7 linked regions of the Mus musculus genome follow. The protein of the gene in region 3 binds, or shares a complex with, the protein of the main gene of each other region. Links are inferred from orthologs where the notes say so. Each region holds a gene or a part of one and is shown on either strand. Other genes may lie near its edges.

The links.
Region 1: the proteins of Rhoa (region 3) and Pkn1 are in contact, whole or in part, in a crystal structure (PDB 1CXZ), measured with the Homo sapiens proteins. The link is inferred for Mus musculus from reciprocal best matches to the Homo sapiens genes RHOA and PKN1. Residues at the interface, in NP_001300870.1 of Homo sapiens: Met1, Ala2, Phe25, Ser26, Lys27, Asp28, Gln29, Val43, Asp45, Ile46, Glu47, Gln52, Glu54, Thr163, Lys164, Arg168, Glu169; in NP_002732.3 of Homo sapiens: Glu40, Arg43, Arg44, Ile46, Arg47, Leu50, Lys51, Lys53, Glu54, Glu57, Asn58, Arg60, Arg61, Leu77, Arg78, Ser81, Leu84, Asp85, His88.
Region 2: the proteins of Rhoa (region 3) and Net1 are in contact, whole or in part, in a crystal structure (PDB 4XH9), measured with the Homo sapiens proteins. The link is inferred for Mus musculus from reciprocal best matches to the Homo sapiens genes RHOA and NET1. Residues at the interface, in NP_001300870.1 of Homo sapiens: Arg5, Lys7, Tyr34, Pro36, Thr37, Val38, Phe39, Glu40, Asn41, Tyr42, Val43, Asp45, Glu54, Trp58, Ala61, Gly62, Gln63, Tyr66, Asp67, Arg68, Leu69, Arg70, Leu72, Ser73, Pro75, Asp76, Pro96, Thr100, Pro101, Glu102; in NP_001040625.1 of Homo sapiens: Glu177, Ala178, Glu181, Gln270, Leu271, Lys274, Lys281, Gln291, Leu294, Glu295, Arg300, Lys301, Leu302, Asp303, Trp305, Ser306, Asp309, Arg312, Ser313, Arg314, Val316, Lys317, Leu320, Leu321, Glu324, Gln347, Leu350, Ser351, Ile353, Asn354.
Region 4: the proteins of Rhoa (region 3) and Rock1 are in contact, whole or in part, in a crystal structure (PDB 1S1C), measured with the Homo sapiens proteins. The link is inferred for Mus musculus from reciprocal best matches to the Homo sapiens genes RHOA and ROCK1. Residues at the interface, in NP_001300870.1 of Homo sapiens: Val38, Phe39, Asp65, Tyr66, Arg68, Leu69, Leu72, Pro75; in NP_005397.1 of Homo sapiens: Lys999, Val1003, Asn1004, Leu1006, Ala1007, Met1010, Asn1011, Arg1012.
Region 5: the proteins of Rhoa (region 3) and Myo9b are in contact, whole or in part, in a crystal structure (PDB 5HPY), measured with the Homo sapiens proteins. The link is inferred for Mus musculus from reciprocal best matches to the Homo sapiens genes RHOA and MYO9B. Residues at the interface, in NP_001300870.1 of Homo sapiens: Asp13, Gly14, Ala15, Glu32, Tyr34, Val35, Pro36, Val38, Phe39, Gln63, Glu64, Asp65, Tyr66, Arg68, Leu69, Leu72, Asp90, Glu93, Asn94, Glu97; in NP_004136.2 of Homo sapiens: Glu1731, Gly1732, Arg1735, Lys1736, Ser1737, Gly1738, Ala1739, Ala1740, Arg1744, Lys1772, Gln1773, Arg1776, Arg1840, Met1841, Ala1845, Ile1848, Ile1849, Pro1852, Cys1853, Arg1856, Pro1863, Leu1864, Ser1866, Met1867, Val1870, Thr1874.
Region 6: the proteins of Rhoa (region 3) and Arhgef28 are in contact, whole or in part, in a crystal structure (PDB 6BC0), measured with the Homo sapiens proteins. The link is inferred for Mus musculus from reciprocal best matches to the Homo sapiens genes RHOA and ARHGEF28. Residues at the interface, in NP_001300870.1 of Homo sapiens: Arg5, Val38, Phe39, Glu40, Asn41, Tyr42, Val43, Glu54, Ala56, Trp58, Arg68, Leu69, Leu72; in NP_001171164.1 of Homo sapiens: Lys1140, Ile1142, Arg1144, Glu1145, Val1146, Ala1147, Asn1148, Glu1149, Phe1154, Ile1156, Ala1158, Ser1159, Ser1160, Pro1163, Glu1164, Met1165.
Region 7: the proteins of Rhoa (region 3) and Arhgef12 are in contact, whole or in part, in a crystal structure (PDB 1X86), measured with the Homo sapiens proteins. The link is inferred for Mus musculus from reciprocal best matches to the Homo sapiens genes RHOA and ARHGEF12. Residues at the interface, in NP_001300870.1 of Homo sapiens: Arg5, Lys7, Thr19, Lys27, Val33, Tyr34, Pro36, Thr37, Val38, Phe39, Glu40, Asn41, Val43, Asp45, Glu54, Trp58, Asp59, Ala61, Gly62, Gln63, Tyr66, Asp67, Arg68, Leu69, Leu72, Ser73, Asp76, Glu97; in NP_056128.1 of Homo sapiens: Pro766, Asn768, Gln770, Glu790, Val791, Glu794, Thr798, Ala801, Cys888, Gln891, Pro892, Lys899, Arg922, Arg923, Leu924, Gln925, Lys927, Asp928, Pro931, Thr932, Met934, Gln935, Thr938, Lys939, Leu942, Leu943, Asn946, Arg968, Leu971, Asn972.

The regions. Positions count from the first base shown.
Region 1 is NC_000074.6:83,685,680-83,689,179, forward strand, and holds part of Pkn1 (serine/threonine-protein kinase N1), read right to left. Parts: intron 1,506-3,500; coding exon 1,361-1,505; intron 1-1,360. UniProt on the Homo sapiens protein: PKC-related serine/threonine-protein kinase involved in various processes such as regulation of the intermediate filaments of the actin cytoskeleton, cell migration, tumor cell invasion and transcription regulation.
Region 2 is NC_000079.6:3,915,421-3,919,624, reverse strand, and holds the start of Net1 (neuroepithelial cell-transforming gene 1 protein), read left to right. Parts: upstream 1-1,404; 5' UTR 1,405-1,559; coding exon 1,560-1,687; intron 1,688-4,204. UniProt on the Homo sapiens protein: Acts as a guanine nucleotide exchange factor (GEF) for RhoA GTPase. May be involved in activation of the SAPK/JNK pathway Stimulates genotoxic stress-induced RHOB activity in breast cancer cells leading to their cell death.
Region 3 is NC_000075.6:108,326,660-108,330,159, forward strand, and holds part of Rhoa (transforming protein RhoA precursor), read left to right. Parts: intron 1-924; 5' UTR 925-926; coding exon 927-1,082; intron 1,083-3,500. UniProt on the Homo sapiens protein: Small GTPase which cycles between an active GTP-bound and an inactive GDP-bound state.
Region 4 is NC_000084.6:10,178,993-10,183,052, reverse strand, and holds the start of Rock1 (rho-associated protein kinase 1), read left to right. Parts: upstream 1-1,260; 5' UTR 1,261-1,735; coding exon 1,736-1,828; intron 1,829-4,060. UniProt on the Homo sapiens protein: Protein kinase which is a key regulator of the actin cytoskeleton and cell polarity.
Region 5 is NC_000074.6:71,349,214-71,352,713, reverse strand, and holds part of Myo9b (unconventional myosin-IXb), read right to left. Parts: intron 2,580-3,500; coding exon 2,519-2,579; intron 1,788-2,518; coding exon 1,666-1,787; intron 828-1,665; coding exon 700-827; intron 545-699; coding exon 369-544; intron 1-368. UniProt on the Homo sapiens protein: Myosins are actin-based motor molecules with ATPase activity. Unconventional myosins serve in intracellular movements. Binds actin with high affinity both in the absence and presence of ATP and its mechanochemical activity is inhibited by calcium ions.
Region 6 is NC_000079.6:98,203,366-98,207,589, reverse strand, and holds the start of Arhgef28 (rho guanine nucleotide exchange factor 28), read left to right. Parts: upstream 1-1,424; 5' UTR 1,425-1,517; intron 1,518-4,224. UniProt on the Homo sapiens protein: Functions as a RHOA-specific guanine nucleotide exchange factor regulating signaling pathways downstream of integrins and growth factor receptors. Functions in axonal branching, synapse formation and dendritic morphogenesis.
Region 7 is NC_000075.6:43,001,219-43,004,718, forward strand, and holds part of Arhgef12 (rho guanine nucleotide exchange factor 12), read right to left. Parts: intron 683-3,500; coding exon 640-682; intron 334-639; coding exon 228-333; intron 1-227. UniProt on the Homo sapiens protein: May play a role in the regulation of RhoA GTPase by guanine nucleotide-binding alpha-12 (GNA12) and alpha-13 (GNA13). Acts as guanine nucleotide exchange factor (GEF) for RhoA GTPase and may act as GTPase-activating protein (GAP) for GNA12 and GNA13.

The sequences.
Region 1 (3,500 bases), on a different chromosome or scaffold from region 3:
AACAAGAGAAAAAATGTTGGTCATATTAGCACATGCCTGTAATCAACCATAGCATCTGGGAGACTGAGGCAGGAGAATTACCACAAGTCCAGGGCCAGTGTGAGTAGGACAGCCCTTGGCATCTGTGATGGTTGTTTCTATTCTATTCTATTTTGCCTCACCATGTAGCCCCGGTTGGCCAGGAACTCCCAAAGATGTGCCTGTTTCTGCCCCCTGCGTGCTGTGATTAAAGGCATGTGGGATGAGAGGCCTGTGTCACTACGCCTGGCTCACCAAGGCTCAGTAACCACTTCTCAGCTCTGTGCATGTGGTAAAAACCAAACATGAAAACATGCCAGTAAAACTTTCTTTACAAAGGCATGTGGGCCTGGCAGTGCAAGCCTGTGGTTCCAAACACTCACAGGTGACGGCAGGAGGACTGAGAGTTCAAGTCTGGCTTAGGCCACAGGGTGAAATCTTTTCTCAAAAGAAAAAAAGAAAAAGAAAAAGAAAGGGATAGAGTGGGGGATGGAGGCAGAGACAGGCGATCTGTTAGAGGCAGCCTGGTCTACATAGATCAAGGCTAGCCAGAGCTACATAATGACACCCTATCTCAAAACGCAATCACAGGCTCGATATGGTAACACAAACGCTTAATTCCAGCACTCAGGAGGCAGAGGCAGGAAGAACTCTGCCTCTGTGAGTCACAGGCCAGCCTGGTTTACATACTAAGATCCAGGACAGGCAGGGCTATTATAGAAAGATCCTGTCTCAAAACTAAACTGAAAGCAACCAGGGGTGGGGCTAGAGAGATGGCTTGATTATAGAAAAGCTTTCTGCTCTTCCAGAGGAGTCTGCTTACCCAGACCCACGGCATATGACTCACAACCACCCGAGACTCTAGTTCCAGAGATCTGATGCCTCCTTCTGGCTCCTGAGGCACCTGCACACACACATGCACACATGCATGCACACAGGCACAGATAAATCTTAAAACAACCCTAAAAACAAGGGATAGGGTTTGCCAAGTACTACAGTGCCACATAGATTTTATCATTGAAGGGTTAGGGTCACGGTTCGATAAAAACACAGGCCTAGTTTATAGGAGTCCCTGGATTCCACCCTAACCACAACAAAAGGAAGGAAGGACAAAAGGGAGGGAGGGAGGGAGGGAGGGAGGGAGGGAGGGAGGGAGGGAGGGAGGGAGGGAGGGAGGGAAAAAAATCAGGTGGATTTGGCCTGAGGGTGGCGTTTGGCAACAACTATCCTAGCCCAAACCTTGAATGAAACAACCAGAAATAGACAGGAATAGGCATTGTGGGTTGCAGGTGGACCCCTGGAAGGCTGAATGCAGGCAGCCAATGTCCAAGAAGGGTCTTACCTTGGGCTTCATCAGGAGCTGCCTGACTCTCCAGCTCTCCAGCCTGTAGTGCCTGGAGCGCTCTTCGAAGCTGCATGCGGATGATGTCAATCTTGGTCTTACTGTCCTGCAGCATCTGCTGGGCTGTCAACAACAGCTTCCGGTCCTGGGGACAGACATGGAAGGTGGCAGGCAGAGTGGGAACTCAAGTCTGAGCTGCTGTCCACATCATAACAGGTAAGAGCAAGGACACATAGTCCCAGCCTCCTGGGCCAGTGCAGAGGCAGGCAGTCCATGGGCTTCAGTCCCAGCTCTGCTACCCAACAACTCAGTGTAGCTGGTCTTTGCTACTTCATGTGTTCTTCTTTTTCCACCCTTTATCCCCTCAGTTTCACCCCCATCACTAGATAGGAGAGAAAGAGGGAGAGAGGGGAGGGAGAGAAACAGTAGGGAGAGAGGGAGAGGGAAGGGGAGGAGGAGAGAGAGGGGGAGGGACAGGGACAGAGAGAGGGATCGGGATCCTTGGGTCTAATTTCTCTCTCCTTTCTCCTTTGAGCACGACTACTAACAAACTGCAATCAACCCCCTGTATGACCAACAACCGCCAACCCTGCCGACTGGGGCCGTGCTGATTTATGTACCCTCTGAAAAGTCCCCAGAACTCCAAATGTCACCAATTGCAATAACTATCTGCAGCTGGCAAAACTGTGCCCCTGCTAGAGCATGAGGCAAATCATAGTCAGCTGCTGTGGACAGTCTGGAGCAGCCCATATTCCACTCCTGGGATTATAATATTTCTGTGTTTTTAAAGAAACCAAAACTCTAAAGCTGTCACTACGTTTCTCCCTTCTGTTTTAAGCCATGAACTGTGTGTAGCGGGAGATTATAAACAGACATTTTCAATGAAATAAGTGCTTTTCGGGTCCGTGGCCAAGACTTTCAGGAGCCCTCTCCTGCTGGGTTCCTATCTTGATCAGTTCTGATGGGACCCACAGCTTTTGCTTCCCTGTGGAAATATAAACACATCTGCATCCTCCAGGCAAAGCTCTCACTGGCTTCCGCTCTGATGTTCTTATAGTATATCGGTTGATTTAATTCCATGGTTTTTCCTATAACCTGGTGACTCTCTCTTGCTGAGTATTGAGGTTTTTCTGCCTGCTTGTTATTTCCCGGCTGACAAGAAGCAAACTGTTCCTACTTTTTTTCTGTGTGGCCTCAAGATAGGCCGCAGGGCCAATTCTGGATAGTTAGAAACTGCCCTGGATAACTCTCTTGGTCCGACACACTCATCAGTCCAACAGCAATTCTTGCCACATCACCTGCACACTCCTGGAGACTGGACCTTCCTTCTGGTTTATATTTAGAAAACACATTTCCTTATACAGATGCCTCATTCAATTTTTTTTCAAATGACAATATTTCCCACAATTTAGCACCAGGCATTTTGAGATGTAAGACTTTTAGCGGCTTAGTCACAGTCTCTTTGCAAATGACTGAATTTCCTGTAATTGAAGTACCAGGCATTTTGATATTGGACACCTATAGCTAAACCTGACCTACTATATTAGCATGGCACATGTTAGATCCAACATTGGTCATATCCCTTATCCAATCATCTATAGGCACTGCTTGAACCTTTAATGGTCTAATAACTTTTTTACATTTGGTATTCAAATTTTCATAACCAAGTCCTCTATCAACACCTGTCTTGCTTGATAGTCTAATATGGCTTTGTTCACAGCTGAGACTAATTTTTGTAAAAAAAATAAAAATAAAAAATAAGCCGGGCGTGGTGGTGCACACCTTTAATCCCAGCACTCGGGAGGCAGAGGCAGGTGGATTTCTGAGTTCGAGGCCAGCCTGGTCTACAGAGTGAGTTCCAGGACAGCCAGGGCTACACAGAGAAACCCTGTCTCAAAAAACCAAAAAGAAAAAAAAATAATAATAAAAATAATAAAAAATAAAAAAATCAGTGAAGGCCTCTTCAGAACCTTGTATATAATCTTTGTAAATGAGGTGGACTTTCTCCTGGGCTCCTCAGCTTTGTCCCAAGCTCTTTTTTTTTTTAAGATTTATTTATTTATTTATTATATGTAAGTACACTGTAGCTGTCCTCAGACACTCCAGAAAAGGGAGTGTCAGACACTCTAGAAGAAGGAGT
Region 2 (4,204 bases), on a different chromosome or scaffold from region 3:
TTGAATATGCTTGGCCCAGGGAGTGGCACTGTTTGGAGGCATGGCCTTGTTGGAGTAAGTGTGTCACTGTGGGTGTGAGCTTGAATACCCTTGTTCTATCTGCCTGGAAGCCAGTATTCTGCTAGCAGCCTTCAGATGAAGATATAGAACTCTCAGCTCTTCCTGTACCATGCCTGCCTGGATGCTGCCATGTTCCTGCCTTGATGATAATGGACTGAATCTGTATTCCAGCCCCAATTAAATATTGTCCTTATAAGGGCTGTCTCTTTCATGGTGTCTGTTCACAGCAGTAAAACCCTAAAACAGAATTTTTCTAAATTGACATAAAACTAGCCATCATTGTTCTATATTTCATATTTTATGCTTTCAGTTAAAATCACAATGTTTTGTTTTACTATATACCTCTTATTTTTAATTTTCTTTTATTTTCAAGATTATAATATAATCACACCATTTTCTCCCTTCTCTTTTCTCCTTCCCAACTCTCTCCTATACCCCTTCTTGCTATCTTTCACATTCATGGACTCTTTTTATTAATTATTGTTACATAGTCAATATGTAACAATATGTTATACATATATGTTCCTAAATACACAAATACAGCCAGCTCAGTCTGTATGATGTTATTTGTATGTTTTCAGGGCTAGCTGTTAGTATTGGCTAACCAATGGTATTCCCTGAAGAAGACCATTTCTTTATCGGCTGAATGCAGTCTTCACAGTTAATCAGTTATATTTAGACATCTCCCAGTCATTCATTTAGATTGCCTTTAATTTTTCTATTATACACAACATCATTAATATCTCCCTGTATACAAGAGAGACTACATTTAAGACCATTAGCGATATTTAAAATCAGAGAACGTTTTTATTTACCAATCTTCACATAATAACCTGAGCAGGGTCCCTTGTTTCATGCTGCACGTTTTGCAGTCTTGCAAGCAGAGAAAGCAGCCCTTTCCATTCGGTAAAGCGACTGTGTCCTACTTACTGAAAGACAGGAGTACATAACTAGATTTCACTGGTTCTCTAGAGACATCCTGGAGAACAAAGTATTGTCTTTGGCAATTGGGAATATATTCCACATGTATAACTTAGTGTTTATACGTCCAACTGCCTCTTGCTTTGGGGTCAATACCTTCATCCTGTCTAACGCTAAACAACAACAAATGATAAACAGCTTCCGATCCATTTTCCTGCCCTGCAAGTGAAAGTTCTAGTGAATAGAGACTGCCTTTCAGGAGTAAGGTGTGTAGTTAAAATAAATCCCCAAATTCCTAACTTTCACCTTACCACTTTCCCTTTGTCACTGGAGCTCCTAAAAGTTTGGTATGAAGTCTTCTGATTAGGGCGGGACTCCACGTAGCCTAGCAACCGCTTCCCACTCTCTGATTGGCCGATCTCTGGGCAGCCGCCATTTTCAAATCCCCGGATGACGGCGGTAGCCGCTCTCTGCTAGAAGGCGACTTGCTGCCTCGCAGAAGCTGGCGGGCATTGTGCCCGCCACGATCGGTCTCCTGGGCACTGGGCCACCGCCCCACCAACCCCCCTTCTCCGGACATGGAGCCAGAGCCGGCGGCTCAGAAGCAGCCCCGACCTCGGAGGAGAAGCCGCAGGGTCTCAATGCTCAGCGAGGAACCTGCCGCGGGGCTTCCGGCCGACACACCCGGGCCGGCGGCGAACGAGAGGTGAGGGTGGCGGGAGGTGGGTGAGAGCCGGGGACCGAGTCTGGAGACTCAGGACGGGATGGACTGGACGGTGGGTGACCAAGGACTGGCAGTGCAGTAGGGGAGGTTGGGGAAGGCCGGGCAGAAATGCCGCGGGAGGAGAGTGCGCTGCCCGGCGGGCTGCACCGAGGGCTGCACAGCGACTGCTCGGCCCTGCGTAGAAGGGGTGGACTCGTTGGACTTGTTGACAATCTCCTTTAACCCCGTCCCTGGGGAACCGTACATCTGCACCAGAGCTGTTCTCTACCAGAAACTAGTTGTGGATGCAGGCGCTCAGATCAAGACTGTCGTGGACCCTGTGATGAGAAGAGGAATTGTCACCTGAACAGATACCAACCCTTTCAGCCTAAAAGCGGCTGTTCAAATGAAATGTCCTTTGCAGACCAGAACAGGACAGGCTCCTGGAATGAAGAGATCAGAGAAAGACTCTTTCTGGCTTTTCAGTTATTAGCACATTTTCACATTCTGTGTTGTATCTTCATTTCTATGTGTCTGGGAAAGGCAAACACTAGGTTGATTTCAGAAATCTGTGTCTGGAAGAGAGGCTGTGGGAGTCATAATATTTTTATTAAATAGGAAATTGAAATGGCATTTGTCTGGACTACTCTGTCATTCTTTTGCCCTTCGAAATATGAGAAATGGTCTCAAAGTACTGAATGCAATGGTTTCCCATTATAACGTTAGACATTGAGTTACAAAGTATGTAACTTTGTTCAAATCTACGTCTACATAGTGAGTTTATGATAGTGTCTGCCTCATATAAGGCACTGTGTGAACATCAGTACTTATCATGGGCCTCGGCAGAAAACTCGGCAGAAATCTTGTCTGTCAGTTTTAAATCTGTTAAAGTAACAGTGCTGTGTCTGCTCCATCTTTTCAGACATCCCCATGGTCCACTTGACATGATTTCAGGGTTTTTTTGGTTTTGTTTCTGAGACAAGTTCTCACTGTGTAACTTGGTTACCCCAGAACTCACTACCTGTGTAGAGACGCTGGCCACAAACTCATATTGTACTTCTGTACCAGAGCTGTTCTCCATGGAAACTGGTGGACTGTAGGTGGTCTTACATCCATAGGACTATTGGTGAGAAGAGGAATTGTCACCAAGCAGGCTCCAAACCGTTCTGCCTAAAAACTGGTCTTTCTTCCTTAGCCTCCCCCTGTTCTCGGATTGCAGTGTGAACCTCGACGCCCAGGTCATTTGATAGGATGTTAAATTAATCTTTTATATAGCTTATAATCTAATCATGACAAATGGTTTTGAGGAAAAAGCAAACACCTTACTTTCATTATCAAGGCATGGGCAAACCCATTGTATTAAGTAACTCTATAAAGAGCTAGATTCTTTCAGTTAGTACTGATTTTTATGAGTTTGAAGTTTAAGGCAATATTTACCAGAATTCTTGCCTTCTGAAACTTCCTCTCTTCCAATCAGACCGTGTGTTTAAGAAGTCAGAGTGCAGAAAGAAGGCATCTTTGAGACTGAGAATTACAAGAATTAGGATGGGCTAGTGAAGGAGCAGAAAAGGAGGACTTCCTGAAGATGAACAGAAGCAGTGCTTCATTCCACGTGTGCTCAGTGTAATACAGTTGCACCTGCCCTAGCATCAGACACTGTTGAGGATGATGGGGATTCAGGTGAACAAAAGCAGATGGAGCGCTTGCTCTCAGGAACCTTAGATTCTCTTGGGAGGCGTTGGTCACATCATGCAGTGAATTTAAGCCTTTTTGATTCTGTGCAGAAGAGGAAAGATTCTAGGGCCCAGAGTTGGTAGATGACTCCAAGGAAACAGTATCCTCCAGACATAAGAGCACTGATGCACATCTAAACTTACAGAGATTGAAGGAATGCACAAGACCTGCAACAGGTTCAAACCAGACAAGATCCTAGCACTGAGAATGGGAGAGTTGACACACCATCCCACTCAGAACCAAGAAGCTGTTTGCAATTGATACCTCCTGGGAAAAGGAAAATTGTTGTTTTGTTTTGTTCCAGTGGAGTATTGGTATATCAACCACACTCCAGAGCAAGGCCCATGCCCAGGTGTCTTGGTCACTGATCCATTTTTGTGAAGAGACACCATAATCGAGGCAAAACTTAAAGAAAAGGTTTAACTGAGCCTGGCTTACAGTTTCAGAGGGTAGTCCATTATTATCATCATCATGGGACGCATGTAAGCAGACATGGTGCTAGAGAAGTAGCCAGAGCGCTTTATCCCCATCTGCAGGCAGAAGACAGTCTGACAGGGCCTGGCATGGGCTTTTGAAACCCCAAAATTCATCCCCAGTGACATACTCCTTCAACAAGGCCACACCTCTTAATCCTTCTAATCCTTTTCAAGAGTTTGCATTCAAATATATAAGCCTATAGGTGTTGTCTTATTTTCAAAACTTACTTTAATAAGGGTTCTTAAATGCTTCAACCTCCATTCTAACCTACCACCCACCAGAAGTAATGAAAAGGTTAATAGGGCAAAG
Region 3 (3,500 bases):
TCAAAAAACAAAAAACAAAAAAAAAAAAAAAAAAAAAAAGAAACATACACACTATAGCTTCTGCTGGCCAGGAATGGACGAGGTAGCTCCTGCTGGAAGTTTATCCCTTCTGCCTGGGCCTTCCAAGTACTGAGATAACAGGCATGAACCACCATGTCAGGCTGTAAACTTACTCATTTTCCAGGTTGTTCATTGTCAGTTTATAAAAATACAATTGCTGTCTTTTGACAGACTTTCTATGCTGGAAATTTGAACTCAGATCCTTTAGCCTAAGCAGCAAGCCCTTTACTAAGCCAGCCTCTTGACCGATTTATTGGTTTATTTTGGTTTGGTTTTGGTTTTGGTTTTTGGTTTTTCGAGACAGGGTTTCTCTGTATAACCCTGGCTGTCCTGGAACTTACTCTATAGACCAGGCTGGCCTCGAACTCAGAAAGTGCTGGGATTAGAGGCGTGTGCCACCACGCCCGACTTGTTTTGTTTTTGAGTCTCACTGTGTAGCTCTGGCTAGTCTAGAACTTACTGTGCACATCAGACTGGCCTCAAACTCCCGTAGATCTGCCTGTTACCATGCTCAAACGGTATCCCACATTATTACATTATTATTCACTCTGATCATTGTGTGTGCTTTGTTTTTGTTTTTAAAGATTTACTTATGTAATGTTATTAGTACACTGTAGCTGTCTTCAGACACACCAGCAGAGGGCATCAGATCTCATTATAGATGGTTGTGAGCCACCATGTGGGTGCTGGGAATTGAACTCAGGACCTCTGGAAGAGCAGTCAGTGCTCTTAACCGCTGAGCCATCTCTCCAGCCCCAATGTGTACCTCCTTTCTACCCATATGGCTACTAGTATGTGTCATAATCTGAGGCTACTTATGTATTCTTATGCATTTTAAATAATATCTTTTGTTTTATGTTTAAGTGATGGCTGCCATCAGGAAGAAACTGGTGATTGTTGGTGATGGAGCTTGTGGTAAGACATGCTTGCTCATAGTCTTCAGCAAGGACCAGTTCCCAGAGGTCTATGTGCCCACGGTGTTTGAAAACTATGTGGCGGATATCGAGGTGGATGGGAAGCAGGTGAGTACAAGTCCCGCGAGGGAGAGTCGGTGCCATTGTGTGTTGGGTACTGTGTACACAGCGTGACCAAAATGTTAGAAACAGAAATCCATTTTCTTTCTACCACCTTTTTTGGGGGGGATTTGGACGAATTGATTGGTTGGTACTTGGATGTTGAGACAACTCAAGCTGGTTTTTGTTTTGTTTTTGTTTGTTTGTTTTTTGTTTTTGTTTTTTGAGAGTCAGGGTTTCTCTGTACGGTAGTCCTGGCTGTCCTGGAACTCACTCGGTAGACCAGGCTGGCCTTGAACTCAGAAATGCGCCTGCCTCTGCCTCCCAAGTGCTGGGACTAAAGGCGTGCACCACCACACCCGGCTGATTTTTATATCATTGTTGAACCAAGGCTGGCTTTGAACCCATGATTTTTCTGGGCTCCATCTTGTTTATTTTTGAATCAGGGTCTTATATATTCAGGATTTTCCTTCCACCACTTACTACATAGATAATTACAGGTATATGTAATAGTGCCCAGCTAGTGTAGTGGGTTAGACTAGCTGCTCTGCTCTCCAGAGTTTCTCATTATAGAGCACTTTTTTGGGCTAAGAATACAAATAATGTAGGGAATACAAGCTGGGCATGGTGATTCATGTCTGAAATCCTACAGTATAAATTCCAGGTCAGCTTGAGTTAGAGAGTAAGGTTGTCCGTTAAACTCAACAAACAAGTATGTATGTATATAGGTGAGTAAACGGCTCTCAGGATATAGCTCAGGATAGTAGTGACCGCCGCTATTCAGTCTCCAGCACCACATGAACCAGATGTGGTGTCACGGGTTTCTAATCCTAGTAATGGCAGCAAGAGACAGGAAAACCAGACATTTAAGGTCCTTTTCAGCTTCTCAGCTACATAACAAGTTTGAGGCCAGCCCGGAGAACATGAGGTCTTATTACAGTAAAGTATAAAGGTATTCCAGACTAGCATAAGACATAGTAGCATACACACATAATCCCAGCACTTGGCAGGCAGAGTAAACCCTGCCTCGGGGAAAGAAAGAATATTGGTGTAGTGATCCAGACCTGTAGTTAGAGCAACTTAGAAACTTGGAGCAGAGAGATCACAAGTTAAAATGAGCTTGACAACTTGGAGAAATCTCTCAGCCTTAGTGCGCACGCGTGCGCGCGCGCGCACACACACACACACACACACACACACACACACACACACACACTCACACACAGAGGACTGGTTATGTACCTGAACACCCTTGGGCTGGGGACATTGGAAACCTGCATATTCTTTGAAGGTGACCTACCTTTGCAGTGTCTTGCCACTTCAGTCTCAGTATTTGCATAGATGCTTAGATCCAAGTGTTTCTGTGGACCTGATGGGGACTGGTTTTTACGGATGTCACATATAAAACCATAGGTGGAAGTTTGCTGAGGTCTTTTTGACCTTTGACTGTTGCCATGATAGCCTTCTTGATTGAGATTTGCATATCTATAACTATAATTTCCTAAGTTTGGGAGTCAGCAGTATTTCCTCTTTGACATATTTTCTGAGCCTGGATATCTTGGATAAACCAGGATCTTGTCTATAGGAAATTTATTGATGAAACTGAGAATGTAGCTTAGTTGGTAGAGTTTTTGCCAGAGCCTGCATGAGGCCCTATATTCTCTTCTAGAATTTCATAAAAACTAGACACGGGAAGCACATACCTACAGAGTTGCCATTAGCTACTCCTGAATTTGGGGACAACCTAATTTTCCTGCAACCATGTCTAGAAAAGAAAAATAGCATGCTTACTTAAATCTTTGAGCAGGGCAGTAGTGGCGCACGCCTTTAATCCCAGCACTTGGGAGGCAGAGGCAGGTGGGTTTCTGAGTTCGAGGTCAGCCTGATCTACAGAGTGAGTTCCAGGACAGCCAGGGCTACACAGGGAAACCCTGTCTCGAAAAACCAAAATCAATCAATCAATCAATCAATCAGTCAGTCAATCTTAGAGTAATAATCCATAGTTATCTTTCCTGTGCTGTTATTCTTGAACACAGCTTACCAGGAAAGATAGGAGAGTCCTTCATTTAAGAAGACATCTCTGAAATAAGGGAGTTTGATCTGAAAAAGGGTATCCATAGGTATTGTCTACCTCAGAGCAATTCAGGAGCCACCGAAGGAGAAAAGTTACTTAGTCTATTAGTCAAAGTTTGATTTTCTTCCTTGGGTGGCCTTTTGTTCTCATAACATGTTAATCTAATAAATACTTTCATTATTTTTTTGAAATTATTATATAGTTAACCTTATTTGCCCTTCCAACTCTATCTAAAATAGTGGTTCTCAACCTTCCGAATGCTGCAACCCATTTTCATTGCTTCTCCATACCTGCGATTTTGCTTCTGTTCAAGAATTGCAACATAAATATTTGCTGTGCAGGATATTTGATAT
Region 4 (4,060 bases), on a different chromosome or scaffold from region 3:
TCCAAGGGTTGATTAGAATCAAATACAGGTTGGACACCTACTGAAGGCAGTGAAAACCATAATCAGAAACCTTTTTCAGCCTGTCACCCTACAGTCAGTGAAAAACTGAATTGGGAAATGCCCGTTATTTTCATATCCCACTTTAGTTGTAATAAAAACCACGATTTTAAATTTTACTAAATGCCCTGAAGTTGCAGAATCTCACAGACAGGACAGAACTACAAGTTGCTGTGAGAAACGAATAGAAATAGCTTACAAACATTGATTTTCCTATGAATTTTTCCTCTTTAATTAAACTGTTTTTGAGTTCTAATGATTCTATCTTCCAGAGTCAACATTTTAAGGCTCCCTTGACACACAGCTTGGGAACGCTGAGTGCGTGGTGATTTTCCCACGTAAACAGATTCTGCGTGGTGGGCATCAAGAAAAACCCACCAGAGTGCTCCGGAAAATCCAAACTCGACTGGTGCTGAAATAACTCTCTGGTACCGCCAGAAGAAAAGCACCCTCCTAGCCCGCAAAAAGTAATTATCTCAGTGATAACAAGCGCCTTCTTTTCTTGTCAGAATTCTCCGGACCAGAGGCCCAAAGGAAGCGAATCTCGGGCGCCTGCCAGCTCCGCCACCAGAAGCTGGGAAAAGTCCCCCCCCTATGTCTTCCAGCTCGTCTCCGACTCCGCCCAGGGGCCAGCCTGCCAGGCCCCGCCCACGTACGGCCCCGCCTCACTTCCCTCCTCCCCGACGCGACCCGGCCAGCCCCGCCCTGGCGGGCGCCTGCGTGCGCGTGCGCGAGGCCCAGCTCGCTCCCTTCCGAACGCCCGCGCCGCGCATGCGCACAGAGCGCCGGCGGTCTCCGTTTGTTTGAACAGGAAGGCGGACATATTAGTCCCTCTGAGCCCTCCTCGCCCCACCCCCAGGCATTCGCCTCCGCGACTCGCCCTTTTCCCAGCTCGGACCGCGGCCCCTCCCAGAAGTTCCCGCATCATCAGCCGCACGGCCCCTACGGTCGTCTTCCTCGCCGGCCCACTGCAGCGGGTCTTCCCCTGAGACTTCATCGGGCCTCCGACCTCGCCCTGCCCCGCCAGACACCGCGTTAGCAACCCCAGCAGCGACCGCAGAAAATGGGAGAGTGAGCCTGTTCTGTGGGGAGCAGCTCTTGGCCGAGGCTAGTCAGTGCCGGGCCGAGTGGAACCGGGGATGCAGGGCTAGACCACCTCTAGCGCCTCTGAGCGGAGCGGGGCCGGCCCGGGGCCCAGGCGGCGGCGGCGGCGGCGGCGGCAGCTGGCGCAGCTCCTCACCCACCCTTCGCTTTCGCCTTTCCTCTTCGCCTTCCCTGGCTGCCCCGAGGGAGTCTCCACCCTGCTGCGCTCCCTCTTCCCGCCGCTGCCCTTCTCTGGACTGGGCCCCGCCATGGCGAAGGCAGCCGGGGCCCGCTAGGCTGAGGTGCCTCGCCGGAGCGACCGGGCTGCTGGCGACGGCGCTGTCGGCTGTCGCGAGGGGCTGCCGGGTGGGATGCGACTTTGGGTGTCCGAGCGGCTGCGGGTCGCTGTCACACCGAGCCTGGGGTCTGGAGAGCAGAGGTCCCCTCAGTGAGGGGGACGAGGGGGAACCGGGCGCACCTGGTGACCCCGAGGTTCCGGCTCCTCTGCCCTGCGGCTACAAACCCACCGCGGAGGAAGTTGGTTGAACTTGCTTTCCGCTGCGGGCAAGAAGGTATCGTCACAAGTAGCAGCATCATGTCGACTGGGGACAGTTTTGAGACTCGGTTTGAAAAAATCGACAACCTGCTGCGGGATCCCAAATCGGAAGTGAATTCAGATTGTTTGCTGGTGAGTGCTGCTGTTTTCTCTGGGTTGCCTTGGGTGGTTGGTTGCAATCTAGTTAACTGCAAGGAGTCTCAGGTGTGCATAGTTTTGGGCAGGTGCCAGATTTCTCTCTTGCAAGAAATTTGGAGCACCAGTAAATATCATAGTTCAACCCCCCACCTTGGTTTTTTTGTTTGTTTGTTGGCAATTCCAGTGATTCTATGTTAGCTACTCTGAACTTCTGGTTTTGAATCAGCTTCTCAGTCCACCGAGCGTACTTAGAAACTACGATTGCAGCCATCGTATCAGGACGTCAACACGTCAACGTTTCTATTGTATAGCTTGTTGAAAGACAATCTTAGTATTAACCTCCCTGGTTAGTTTGACAGTAGGATTGAAAAATCTACTTTCTATTTATAGAATTATGGAGTTTAGACTTGGAAATGATAATGGAAAATTAATACAGAGGAAATGATTTTTAAGATAAAATTTTAGGTGTCTTGAGGCTAAAGAAACTGTTGAACGTTAAATGCATACACCTACGACAACTAATCTTAGGCCAACACAAGTTTGGTGGCTTTTAAAACAGTTAGTAAATATATTTCACATATATTAAGAACTGTTTTTTGCTGGTAGTAAACTAATTATTTTCACTTTAAAACATTCTAAAGTTTTTAGGTCACAAAAAGCCAAAATCCTACCATAAGAAGTACCCAGTTGTTGATAGCAAATACAATTATTTGTAATAATGGGCATTTCAGTACTGCCAATACAATTGTCAACGGAATTTTTCCGTTTACTACCAACTAAAAATTATATATTAATACTTTTAGTTTTTAAACAAAATCACAAGATCTCTAAAATCATATTTCTCTATCTGGACATGAGATAGAGAATTTACTTTGTATACTCAATAGTTTGGAGATTTAAGAATAATGCCATTCAGAGAGATACATTTAAAAATCTCATACTGAATCAGGAAATTTTGTAAATTAAAATTAGTGAATATTTCAGTTATTCTGTACTTTAAATATGTAAGGTTTCTCATCAAAGCTTTCAGAATTGCTCTAAACATACTTAACTATACATTTCTAATGTATTCCATGTCTGATAGTGTTTCAGTAGTTCCGTAAGTTGTTGTTAGGTTTATTACTGTTGTTAGTGGTACTGACAGTTGAGCCCAGCACATGCTAGCTAGGCAAGCACTCCACCATCAGTCTGCTCACCCGATTTTACTTTTGCTCCTCCTATTAGGAAGTAGATTATAAGGAGGGTTTTGGAGCTTGCTTTTTTTTTTTTTAATTGCTAGTTTTCTTTTTTGTTACAGTACCATTCAGTAGGAACCTGATAGAGCTGTGGGGAGTATAAAGAAAATAAATACATATTACATGGACTTTTTAGAGAGTTGAATCCACTTAGGAAAACATTCTTATATACATATACAGAAACCAAGTAAACAGTTTACAGATTGAGAAAACAACTGATTAATTCTAAATGATTATTCAGTATTTTTCAATCAATCACTTGTCTATATAATGGAAACTGAAGGGGAAAAAATGACTGTGAGTTGAGAGAGCCAGAGTGTGTTTTATGATGAACTGGCTACTGAATTGAGGATAACAGATAGAGGGTGAATGGGCATCCGTGACTGGCTGTGACATGCTTAAGAAACAAGGTAAAGTTGGAAGGATGGGGTTAGATTTGGAGGATTTGATTGTAATTGGGCTGTCACAGAATGAATGAAGAAAATTAATTCATTAGTTCTTTGTGAGATAGGTTTGTATGGAAAAAGTCTGGGAATAAAGTGAGATTGGAGAATTTTTAGATTACTCTAATAGTCCTCACTCAATTGGAGCCCTGAGCTAGGACATGAAAATGAAGAGGGAAGAATTGATGGAATGTGATTGAGTTGAGGAGAACCAGAGAGGCATTAGTCAAACAACTCCAAAAATGTTGAGCCTGGGTTATAAATAGTAAGAATGGTGAAAATAATAAAGTTTGGGAATTGCTTGAGAATAGACCTACTGATAATTTGCTGTATTTGACAAGATAGTGAGATGAGTGTGCGGTAATGTCCTGTAGACTATTGTAGATGTGGAATTAACTTACAATAACAAATTATGACTTGGAAGTCATTTCTATAGATTACAAATTGTAACTGATACAATGAAAAGGAATACCCTAGAGAGAGATCAAAAGGTGATAGGTAAAGAGTCAAAGAAGCAACCACTCAAGGTCCTCATTGCTAAGGTAGTC
Region 5 (3,500 bases), on a different chromosome or scaffold from region 3:
CACACACAGGCAAAATACTGCAATATTATTTTTTTGATCCAAAGGAGTTTGTGTGTGTGCATACATGCATGTTGCAGCATGAATGGAGGTCAGAGGACAACCTGTGGGAACTGACTGTCTTTCCAGTGTGTGGGTCTGGGCATCAAACTCAGGTCATCAGGCTTGGCAGCAAGTGCCTTCAGCCCTACGCCACCTCTCCTCTTTTCCTGTAGACCTCATCATGTGCCCAGCTGACTTGAGCTCAGGTCTGGCCTGAGTGCTATGGAGCCTCCTGTGCTCTCAGCATCCCTAGAGTCTTCTGTATTGTTTAATCCCCTGAACCCAGGCCTGCCTGGACACGGCTAACGAGTGACATCCCAGTGGCTTACCTTGTTGAGCAGGAACTCGTCCAGAAACTTGAGCTCATTGGCATTAGTGATCTTACGGAACACTGACTCTCGCCACTTCTCGGACACTGTGATCTGGCCAACTTTGCGATTTCGGTTCTTCTTCCCTTTTAGGGGCTTCTCACCTGTGGTATGGCGGTGCTGCTGGCTAGAAGGTACTGCAGGGACATAGGGCAGATGGAGGCAAGGTCAGAAATAGGCACCCAGATGTATACCCAGGTCCACAGTCATCTCAAGGTCAGGTCCTGCTGCTAACACCTGACGGCTGTGGGTACGGCCAGGCAACTGCTCCTGGAGGTTAAGGGGAACCAACCGTCTAGAGTCTTCCTGGCCGGGGTCTCCTGTGCAGCCTGCCCTCCATTGCTCTCTGTCTCCTCTACACCCTCCAGGCTGGGCTTCTTATCCTTGGCTTTGTGCAGGAAGAGCCGCTTAAATGCAGATCTGCAGGAAAAACAAGTGTTTCTTTTTAACTTTAACTTTTATTGATGGGTATGTATGTGTTTGTGGGGGTCTGCTATGTGAGTATAGCACCTTCAGAGGCCCAAGGAGGGTGTAGGATCCCTCTGGAGTTACAGTGACAAAAGACTGAGTCACCAGATGTGGGTGCTACAAACTGAATGCCTGCCCTCTGGAAACAGATATTCTTAACCACAAAGAAGTCATCTCTCTGGAAGCAAGTATTCTTAACCATGAAGTCTTCTCTCTAGTCTTCTCTCTCTCCCTCCCTCTCCCTCCCTCCCTCTCCCTCCCTCTTCCCTCCCTCTCCCTCCTTCCCTCCTCTTCCCTCTCCTTCTTTCCTCCCTTCCTCCCTTGAGACAGGGTTTTACTATATACATCAGGCTGCCCTGGCACTTGGAGACCTTCCAAGTGCTAGGTTAAAGGCATTCGTCTGCACATCCAGCTGTGACAGGGGCCTTGACAACCTTGGCAGCTGGGCTGTGTGTGAGCAGAGCACTTTCTTTTATCAGTGTTGCCATGGTCATGGTGTTTCCTCACAGGCAATACTAGATGGCAGACTCGTCCATCTGTGTGTCATCAGAGCAGAAGACCTGGTCTGGCTGTGGCTTCCTGAGGCACCACCACCATGTGGCCAGCCAGGTGCGAAAGGTTAGTGGGCAGGTGTTCAGCAAGGCTGTTTGGAATTGTGCTTCAAACAACTACTGAGCCCAATGTGTCTCATTGTGAGTCACTTGACATGGGAGCCTCATTGCTGCAACCAGCTTAGCAGAGCTGAGGCGGGGCCCTGGGTGTCTCTAGTGGAGGTACCCTGTTCACTTACTTAGAGTCACCCTGGGAGCCTGGAGACAGGCCTGCATCAGGACCAGCGGATGGATCTCCTGACTTCTTCTTATGGATGGATGGCTTCTTGCTGCTAAAGTCCCCATCGATTTCAGCTGAAGTCTGCCAAGTGATAGGTGTAGGGAGGGCAGGGTGAGAGTTACAGCTGGGGCCCAGACATGGATCAAACTTCCCCATCTTCACCCATCAACACCACGATGAGTTTTCTATCTTTAATGATTCTATTTTATATCTTGATTTTCTGAGACAGGGTTTCTCTGTGTAGCCCTGGCTATTCTGGAACTTACTCTGTAGACCAGGCTGGCATCAGACTCAGAGATCCATCTGCCTTTGCTTCCTGAGTGCTGGGATTAAAGATGTGTGCCACTACTACCTGGCAAAGACTTTTCTTGTTAAATTACGTATGTGTGCAGGTGCTCACGGAGGTCATAAGGAGATCCCCTAGAGATTGTGACACTTGATATGGGAGCTGGGAGCACAACTTGTGTCATCTGCAGGAGCAGCAAGTGTTCTTAAGCACTCAGTCATCCCACCAGCCTCTCATTTTACCTTTAGAGAAAGGCTGTCAGGCTGCTAGGAAGCATGTGGGCTTGTATGTGTGACCCTCCTGCTCTGCCTCCCAAGTGTCAAGATGATAGGTATACACTGTCGAGATCGCTCAGCATGTGTGTGTGTGTGTGTGTGTGTGTGTTTGTGTGTATACACGTGTGTGCTTATGGGGAGGACGTGTATACTGGGGGGAATGTGTATGTGTGTGTGTACATGTATGTATGTATGTATGTATGTATGAATATATGAATGAATGCATGTGTATGGGGCATTAACAGCTTTACCTGTACCTTGACTGGGGACAGCTTGGAGACGTCACTGGTGGAGAAAGAGATGCGCCTCTCCCTGTGAGACACAGACCACAGTGTTACTAACATGCACCATGCAGAGGGTCTCAGACCCAGTGTAGTGACTCTCAACCCAGGTGGGGTTAGTCTTACTCATCCCAGCAAATACACACAGAGAGGTAAGAGAGCTATGCACTGTTCCGTGCATCTATCCCTTGTTTCATCCATTCTCTTATCCATCCACTTGTTCATTAGTCCACCCATCTACTCATCATCCAGGGACCTGTCCATCTCCAATCAACCTGACTTTCCATCCACCACCTACCAGCCCACTAGTCCATCATCTTTCTATCTCTCTGATCCATCATCTCTATACCTATTCACCTGTCAGATCCATCATCCACTGACCCTCCATCCTGCAAACCACTGACCTGTCAGGCCACTAGCATGTGATGGGAAGGGCCAGTGAGAACTTTCAACATTCTGATGCAGGATGTCCCCACAGACAACTCCTGGCCTCAATCTGTCAGTACCACAGCCAAGAGGTCCTGTGTAGGCAGCCTGCCTCTGCCTCCACACTCCCTTCCTTCAGTCCAGCAAAGGTCTCAGGGGCTAGAGATGTGGTCCCTAGATATCAGTTCATATAGGTGCAGTCAGTGGTGCCTTTTTTATAAGCTATGGGTAGAATTCTGTGAGTGAGCTCCAGTAATGGAGGGGAAATTGAGACCCAGGGATCAGGGAGGGAAGGAGGACTCAGAGGGTCCTGCCTTCCACAGCCAGCCTCTTACAGACTGCCAGGCAGGTACACTATGTTTGGAGGGGTGGGGATGGTCAAACCTTACTCCGGCCTGGACCTAAGATTCTTCTGCCCTTTGTGTTCAACTCTGCAGGGCATGTCCCTATTTGGCAATCTTGGTCACACCTGTTTATGGCCCTGGGGCCCTGAGCTGGTGTTGCCCACCCTGGTGCCCTCAACCCT
Region 6 (4,224 bases), on a different chromosome or scaffold from region 3:
AGAAGAAAAAGAAACAAAAGAACAACAGCAACAGAGGGATCAACAAAGGCTTCTTTTACAAACTTTTCCGCTAACAGGCTTGAAAACTACTTGTGTGTGGTGTGTTGATTCAGCCAATCTCCAGTTGACTTTTTCACATTGAAAATATTGATGTTCGAGAAAAGTGTTATTGCTTTTATTTTTTATCTTCGGGACTTCGTAGTTCTTCAGTGGAGAACACTCTTCTTTGGGACCTAAGGTTCTGCAGTGTGACATCAGAGGATATGAATACAAGTGTCAATACTGCAAGGCCAATGTCAGGTCCTTTATAAAGAAGGAAGGGCAGCGTTTGCCCTAAGACAGGGCTAAAGACCTCAGACCCTGGGTTTTGTTTTTTTGTTTTTGTTTGATTTGTTTTTTGTTTTTTTGGTTTTTTTTTGCCATCCTGCCATTCTTTAGGCTCTGGTTAAACAGGTATGTTAGGAGGGTGGCCCAGGGCATCTGGCAGTGATGGTTTGGGACGGGCCAACACATCTCTCCTGTCCATGTAGTCGGTCTGTCTTCTTGAGAAAAATAAAGGTAATATTAAAGGAACTTAGAAAAGTAGACGCTTAATTTTATCTTTAAAGCTGGAATAATCATCTTAAGCTTATTTTATAGTAAGCTGTACAATGGCGAGACTTTTCACTCGGGACAACTCAGTGCTAAGTGCCTCAGTGCTTTAAGATCCAAGGGGTCCTTTCACATTGTTAGGTGTTGTAAAAGTGGCTATGGCTTTCTCAAAAACAAACAAACAAATGTTGGTGCCGTTTAGGCACCTGTTTGCATAAACGCATAGGGAATCGAGCCTGCAAAGCTTTGGGCCAGAGGAACCTCCATCATCCTCATGAATTAGAGGGAGTCGGCTGTTTTAAAATAGTACTTCCTATTGTAACAGACCCGGGCACTATTATGTCCCGGGTGTGGTGGCTTTGAGCTGAGGACAACCCGAGCCTCCCTCTGGCCTGGCACGGCTCCCTTTAGGAGCCGACCGGCCAGCTCCTTCCTCCGGCGCCACTAGGGCGTGGAGGCCCCCGGGGCGAGCGGGCGCCGCCGCCGCTAGGGTGCAACCCTGCCCTGGCCCAGCAGGTCCCGCTCCGTGCCCGCCGCCGGAGGAAAGCCGAGGCGACCGGCCGCCGCCCCGCGAAGGGAGGGGGCGGCGGAGCCGCAGCAGCTTCAGGTTTCCTCCTGGAGCTGGTGGCGGGCGCGGCCATGTGATGAGGCGGCGACGAGCCCGGCTGGCCAGAGGTGGGCAGGCGGGGACCAGGGGGCGCAGGGGGTGGCCCCAGCTGTGGGCGCGGCGGGCGGGCGAGCGGGGGTGGGGTGGGGTGGGGGGAGCTGCGGCTCCGCCCCTCGGTGCGGCCAGCGGAGCGGAGGGGCGTGGGCAGCTGGGGACCGGCTTCCCCGCTCCGGGCGACGCTGGCCGGCGGGTCGCCCTCGGCAGGCCTCGGGGACAGCGCCTGGCCAGGGCTCCTGGCGTTCCCGAGCCACAGCTCCAGGTAAAGGCGGATTACGGGAGCCATCCCTCTTGTCTCCCCGCAGCCCTGGGCGAAGTTTGCCCACCGGAGTTCTCAGGGGACAAAGTTTCTCTAGGGTCCCCGAGGACGCAGGGGTCTGCAGAGGTGGTGAAAGGCTGCACTCTGTCGGCTGGGCAGCCCGAGGAATGGGCGCCGCCTCCTGGTACCTGGGGATGGCAACAAGTGCATGGCGCTGCCGGGTCGGAGGCAGCAGCTGTGAAGCGCAAACGGGAGGCAGCGGCCACCCCTCACCCTCTCGGGCAAGCGGGGTGGGAGGGGGCAGAGGGTGACGGAGCTCAACCAAAGCTAGTTGCAAGCGATGGAAATCAGAGGCAGGCGGCTGGAGAAGGGTGAACCTCGAGAGCCTGGTTCTCCTCTTCCCATCTGTGTTTCTGGCCAGCTTCACCTATATGCTTGGTGTGTGTGTGGGATGTACCCCAGACTGCTGGTCAGTCTCAAGTTCAGGACATTTATTTCTTGTGGAAACGTTTGCTGAGTTTATAAAAGCATCTATGGTCATCTTGTTTGGGAGGGGCTTTTAGCATTGGGTGGGAATCCGTGCGCTTGTGCCATGAGTTTCTCTGGAATACTCGGTTGTGGGTGGTAGGGGTCACAGGTGGAGAAGGCGTTCTCGCTTGCTGTGAGCTCTGTGAACGCTGGGTGTTCAGACCACCCAGGAAACCCAGCTCTGGTTTCCCAGACACCAGTTAGGTTTCTAAGGGAGACTACTTTAGGAGCCCACAGAGCCTGCCTATTGGTTGCAGCTGGGTGGGCCCAGGGGAAGGGTAACATCTGTGTTTGCTAGCATCTGACTCCCTGACCCCTGCTCAAGTGCCAGCCTCTACACACTCCAAGTTGTAGAGATTGAGCACTCGATTCTGCACCAAGCAGTCAAGAATTACAGTTATAAAGAACGGACACACTGCTTTTCTGTACTTTGCCCTCTCGTGTTCCTAGACCCTGAAGCTGTCTCAGTAAAATGAAATTCTATTCTCAACAACACAAACAAAATCAAAGGCTTGCCCTAGTTAGGCTCTGTGGAAACCACTTTGAACACGATAATTCAAGCTCTGATAACCTTTCCTGGGAAGCTTTCCATAGCTCTATTTTGAGTTTTTATGTGAATGTTAAAACAAATAGGTGTTTGTCTAATCTTGATGAATAGTAGCGCTAACTCCTTTGGAGTGTTTGAAGGAAGAGAACATTGCAGATGCCTTTTGGAGAGGTTGTAGCATTTCAAAGTGATATTCCGATGCAGACTTTATAGTGATTATGCATAATTATTTTTGATTATAGAACTTGGATAGCATCATACTTGATACTTTGTGGTTTGGGAAACTGAGGCACAGAACTAGTTCTTGGGTAAGGGACTCTGGGGCGTGTCCCGGCTAATGTGACATGAGACTGGAGAACAGAGAATCAGTGTTTGCTCTGCTTTGGACTGTTTTTTCCCTTATCAGGGCGGCACAGCCAGGCCAATGGCCAGCAGTTTGTCTAACAGGTGTGTTGGAGGGACTTTCCTCTGAAGTACCGTCTGCCTCTAAGCGGTTAAGAAACACTTAAAGGTACAGAAGGAAATCAGAGTCGGCGACGAAGGTTCTGTGATATCTCATTAGCCCTGTTAGGGTTTCAATATATATATATAATTTGGAAAATTCTGAAATATTTTCTTATTGTGTTCTCATAAGGAACCATTCTTGTGGCTAAGATTTCCACTGGGCAGGAATTTCATATGTGTTTGATACATGTGACTCTCTTTCCCTTGTATGCCATGTGAGAAGAGGAAAAAAAAAATAACAAGTGGGTATTAGTGGCCAACTATACTATTGAAGATGAAGTATTTGATATAAAATCGGTACTTAGGCTCTTAACCAAGTTCTGCCAGAGTTTGTGATCAAGTCTTGATTCTTAAAGAAAAAAGATGAACAGTGTAAATGTTGGAACCCTCTTCTTTGCTGGTAAATGGTTAGGAGAGAGCCAAATAGAGCCTGCATGTCTCCCACAGTCCCAGGGGGCTGTCATTTTATTCTGCCTGAATGCCCTGGGTTTGGGGTATTATTGAGACAGCTCTGGTCTGTGTAGGTTTGGTTTCACTGAAGTTGCACTTGTGTTACTTTCAGTGGGAAAAAGAAGCTCCGGGCTTGTCCCTGTGACTTCAGGTCAGATTTAGTATCAAGAGTGGGGTCATGCTGGACTAAATTAAAAACAGTAGTAGATTTGAAGCCCAGAAACTCAGGGAATTTTGTCATGTTACAACTGTATTGGAAACATGACACCACCCCAAAGGCTTGGGTTTGAATCTCCTGCTTTGGTAAAGCTGAGCTTAGAGATATTTTTCTTGCTTACCAGGAGAGGTTTTTGCCTGGAGCAGATTATACTCTGTAATTTCATCCAGCCCTGGTGACAACTGTCGTTATAATGGTATTGAAACTATATTGTCTAAACTTAATCGGACATTTTGAAAATTTCTCCTGCATGCTTCTCATTCTGTGAAAAGTTTCTTCAGTTTTCATTCCTTCAACAAATCAGAGGAATTGCTGTGTGCTCCATGCTGCTCTTTGCCTTAATCCCCTGGGTGGGTGACTTCAGGCACAGAGAGACACTTCTGTCACTTTTGTGTTTTTAGGATTGGTCCTGCTTTCAGAATGGATTTTTGCCTGCACCACAATCAAGGCATCTGGCTGGGGAA
Region 7 (3,500 bases), about 65 Mb from region 3:
TTTGACCTAACAAGTTGAGGGTCAAGATGCTGCACTGAGCCACCTCCATGCTGAAAGGGCCTGAATGGAGACTATGGACTCTCATCCACCCTCTGACTTCAGATGCCCACTATGTTTAACGACAGGGCTAAGGTCATATGGTTTACATATGTAGCTTTTTCCTATTTAAAAATATAAGCCAAATAACTCACAATGAGCACACCAAGTTTTCTCTAACCCCAGCTTACCGGAAATCCTCCAAGTGCCTCTGAACTTCAGGGTGGACTCTCTCCTGCATTGTCTGAATGTAGAGGCGATGCAGATCCTCAGGAATAAGCTCAGGTCTTCTCTTTTCTGCACAAAGAAGAGGAATTAAGTGATCTAAAGAGATGGTCTATGCAGCCTGACACTGGCAGCACAGTGACATTGCACATCCACACTGAACTTACTACACCAGAGAACTTACTCAGTGCAGTTACTGCACTTCCTGTCAGAAGCCAGCTCTCATCCTTTCATCCTCTCAGTGTAGTAGACTCTCTTTCAGCTGTGAGTCACATGGTTAAAGTAGCCTGACTAAACTAACATAAAACAGCGGATCTGAGGCGAGCCACAGTTTGATGGAGACACTAATCTTCAGGGACTCGGGTGCTTCAAACTTACCTAGATCCACGGAGATTTCCTCAGGAACTGGAACCTTCAGGTGCTGAAACAACACAAGCAGAGTCAGAGCTGCCCCGCAGGCTTCCGGGGCAGACTGAGGAAGGTGTGTAGGTTTATCCTAAAGGTGTTTGCTAATCCAGCTGTTCTTGCCCGTCCAAGTGACACAGCCCTGTCTATTGCTTAGACATGGAAATAAACTCTTTCCCCAAAGTTCTGCTGTGAACAAAGAACTAGCCATTTTATCGGGCAGCAAAATAAATGCTTCGGTACCACTCCACGTAACTATCTGACATCAGCTTACTATAAACGCTGGTCAATATAATCAGTTATGCATTACCTGAAATGATACAAGTAAACCTAAGCTATGCGTCTATTATATAGGAAAACTTGACTCACATAAGTATGATGTTCATGTCTGAATCTGAGCGGCTCATCCTACAGACCACGTGATTATCAGTAATGTTCTTAGCTAACTGTTAAATCCCTCAGCAGTACACTGCCGATGAAAAAGTACTGGATGTTATGTTGAGTTTTTGAGTCTTAAACTCTCAACAACAATCAGTAATAATCAGTAGTTCCTGCAGTAGAACTGAAGCAACTATTTTAAGATACACTTCTTTCTATCAGGATTTCTCCCCATAAGCATGAAGAATTATTATCAGACTATAATGTTCTTTACCCAATAACTAAACAGAAAATCTTATTATTTTGTATTCAGAGGAAATATCTTGGTTCTTATACAAATTTTATACTGTACACCTATTAAAGTCATATATTTCCTAAATTTATAATTCTTATAAAGATCTAAAGTTGTAAATTTGAAAATAAGTCAGTGTTAAAATATTATGAGACCATTACATAATTTATTTTGGTGTGTGTATGTGATGTGTGCACATGTGTGTAAGTATTTACACTTGTACATGCATGCATCTGTGAAGGCCAATGTTGGCTTCTACTATCACTCTCTACCCTATTCTTTTTTTTTTTTTTTTTTTTAAAGATTTATTTATTTATTATATGTAAGTACACTGTAGCTGTCTTCAGACACTCCAGAAGAGGGAGTCAGATCTCGTTACGGATGGTTGTGAGCCACCATGTGGTTGCTGGGATTTGAACTCCTGACCTTCGGAAGAGCAGTCGGGTGCTCTTACCCGCTGAGCCATCTCACCAGCCCCTACCCTATTCTTTTGAGACAGGGTTTCTCATTGAACCTGATACTGACTGATCTATTAGCCTGGCTGGCTGCAGAGTCCCTGGAATCCTTGTCTCCCTGTCTTCCCTCCTGCGCTGGGAGTACAAGTGTGCACAGCCACGCCTGGCTCCTTATGTGGGTGCAAACATCTAATTCAAGTACTTATACTTGCACAACAAGCACTTACCGCTGAGCAAGCCATCTCTGGCCCCTAAGAAGAGTGAAATGGCAAGACATGTTCATACATGTCTGTAATCCCAACACTTGGGAACCAGAGATGGGAGAATCTTAAGCCAAAGGCCTGCCTGGGCTAAAAGACTCTGTTTCAATGATATGGAAAAGGGAAAGACGTGAGAAACAGAAAACAGAAATGTTCTTTTAGCACACATGCAAAAAAGTACATGTGGGTTAGCAGTGTAGCTCAACAGCACAGCCTTGCTGAGTGCACTGAGACAGGGGTGTGATTCTAGCACCACAAGAAATCAAATAAAAACTAATTCATTTACATATGGACATGAGTAATATAATTTTGACTGGTCACATGAAAGAAGAATCAATACGTTAGTATGGATTCTCCTAACACTTTGCTGCTGGCACAGCTCCTGAGCAGCCGACAGGCAGGCAGGCAGGTAGATGCACAGTTCGAGGGAAGTAGGTGATCCATCCACACTTTACACTCTTTCCAGGAAAGCAGCAGGGTCAGAGCTGGGATGCAGAGACAGCTCAGTGGTGAAGAGCATGTGATCTCGCAGAGTTCACTTAGGGCCTGACCCTGTCTTCTGTCACCCATAGTCCCTGACACACAAGTGGTACATTACCCTCACAGACAACAAACATACATGAAAATAAAAAAATCAGTAAAATAAAAAACAAAGTCTTCTGTTGAGGAATCTTGGAGAGAAGTGATGGAGACTAGAGTTTAAAGCAGCCATCTAAGAGAACAAGTGTGAACAGACAAGGGCTGGCAATGTGGCAGACGAAGTGTTTGCCTAGCACTTATGAAACTATGGGCGTCATCCCAGCACCTCATAAAGCACCTCATAAAACTAGATATGGCCGGTCGCAGATGCCTTTAATCTCTGCAATTAGGAAACAGGCAAGACAGTAAGTTTAAGGTCATTTTCAATGACATGCTGAATTCATGGCTGACGTGAAACCCTGTGTAAAACTAAAGGGATAAAGAATATGGGGAGGGGTGGGATGACTGCAGAGTTCCTACAGACAAATGCTTGCTAAATAAGCATGAGGACTGAGGACCTGAACTTGGGCCCTCAACATCCACATAAAAGCAGGGCACAGTGGGTGTGGCGGGGAGGCAGATGCAGGAGGATCCCTGGAGCACACTGGTCAGCTGATCTAAGTCAGTGACTGAGCTGAGAGTCAGTGAAAGACCTGGTTTCAACATAATAACATGGATGGCTAGGGAGATGGCTAAGCAGGGAAGGAGTTTGTTATTCCAGCCTAAAACCTGAATTCAATCCCTGGGACCCACACAGTGGAAGAACTGACTTCCACTGCTTGCCCTCTGCATCTTAGCACAAGTATACATGAAACACACCAATAAAAAAACTAATTATAGTAAAAATAATAATAATAATAATAATAATGTGAGAAAGACACCTGATGCTGGCCTCTGGCCTGCATGTGTATAAGAAGATGTGTGTATGCA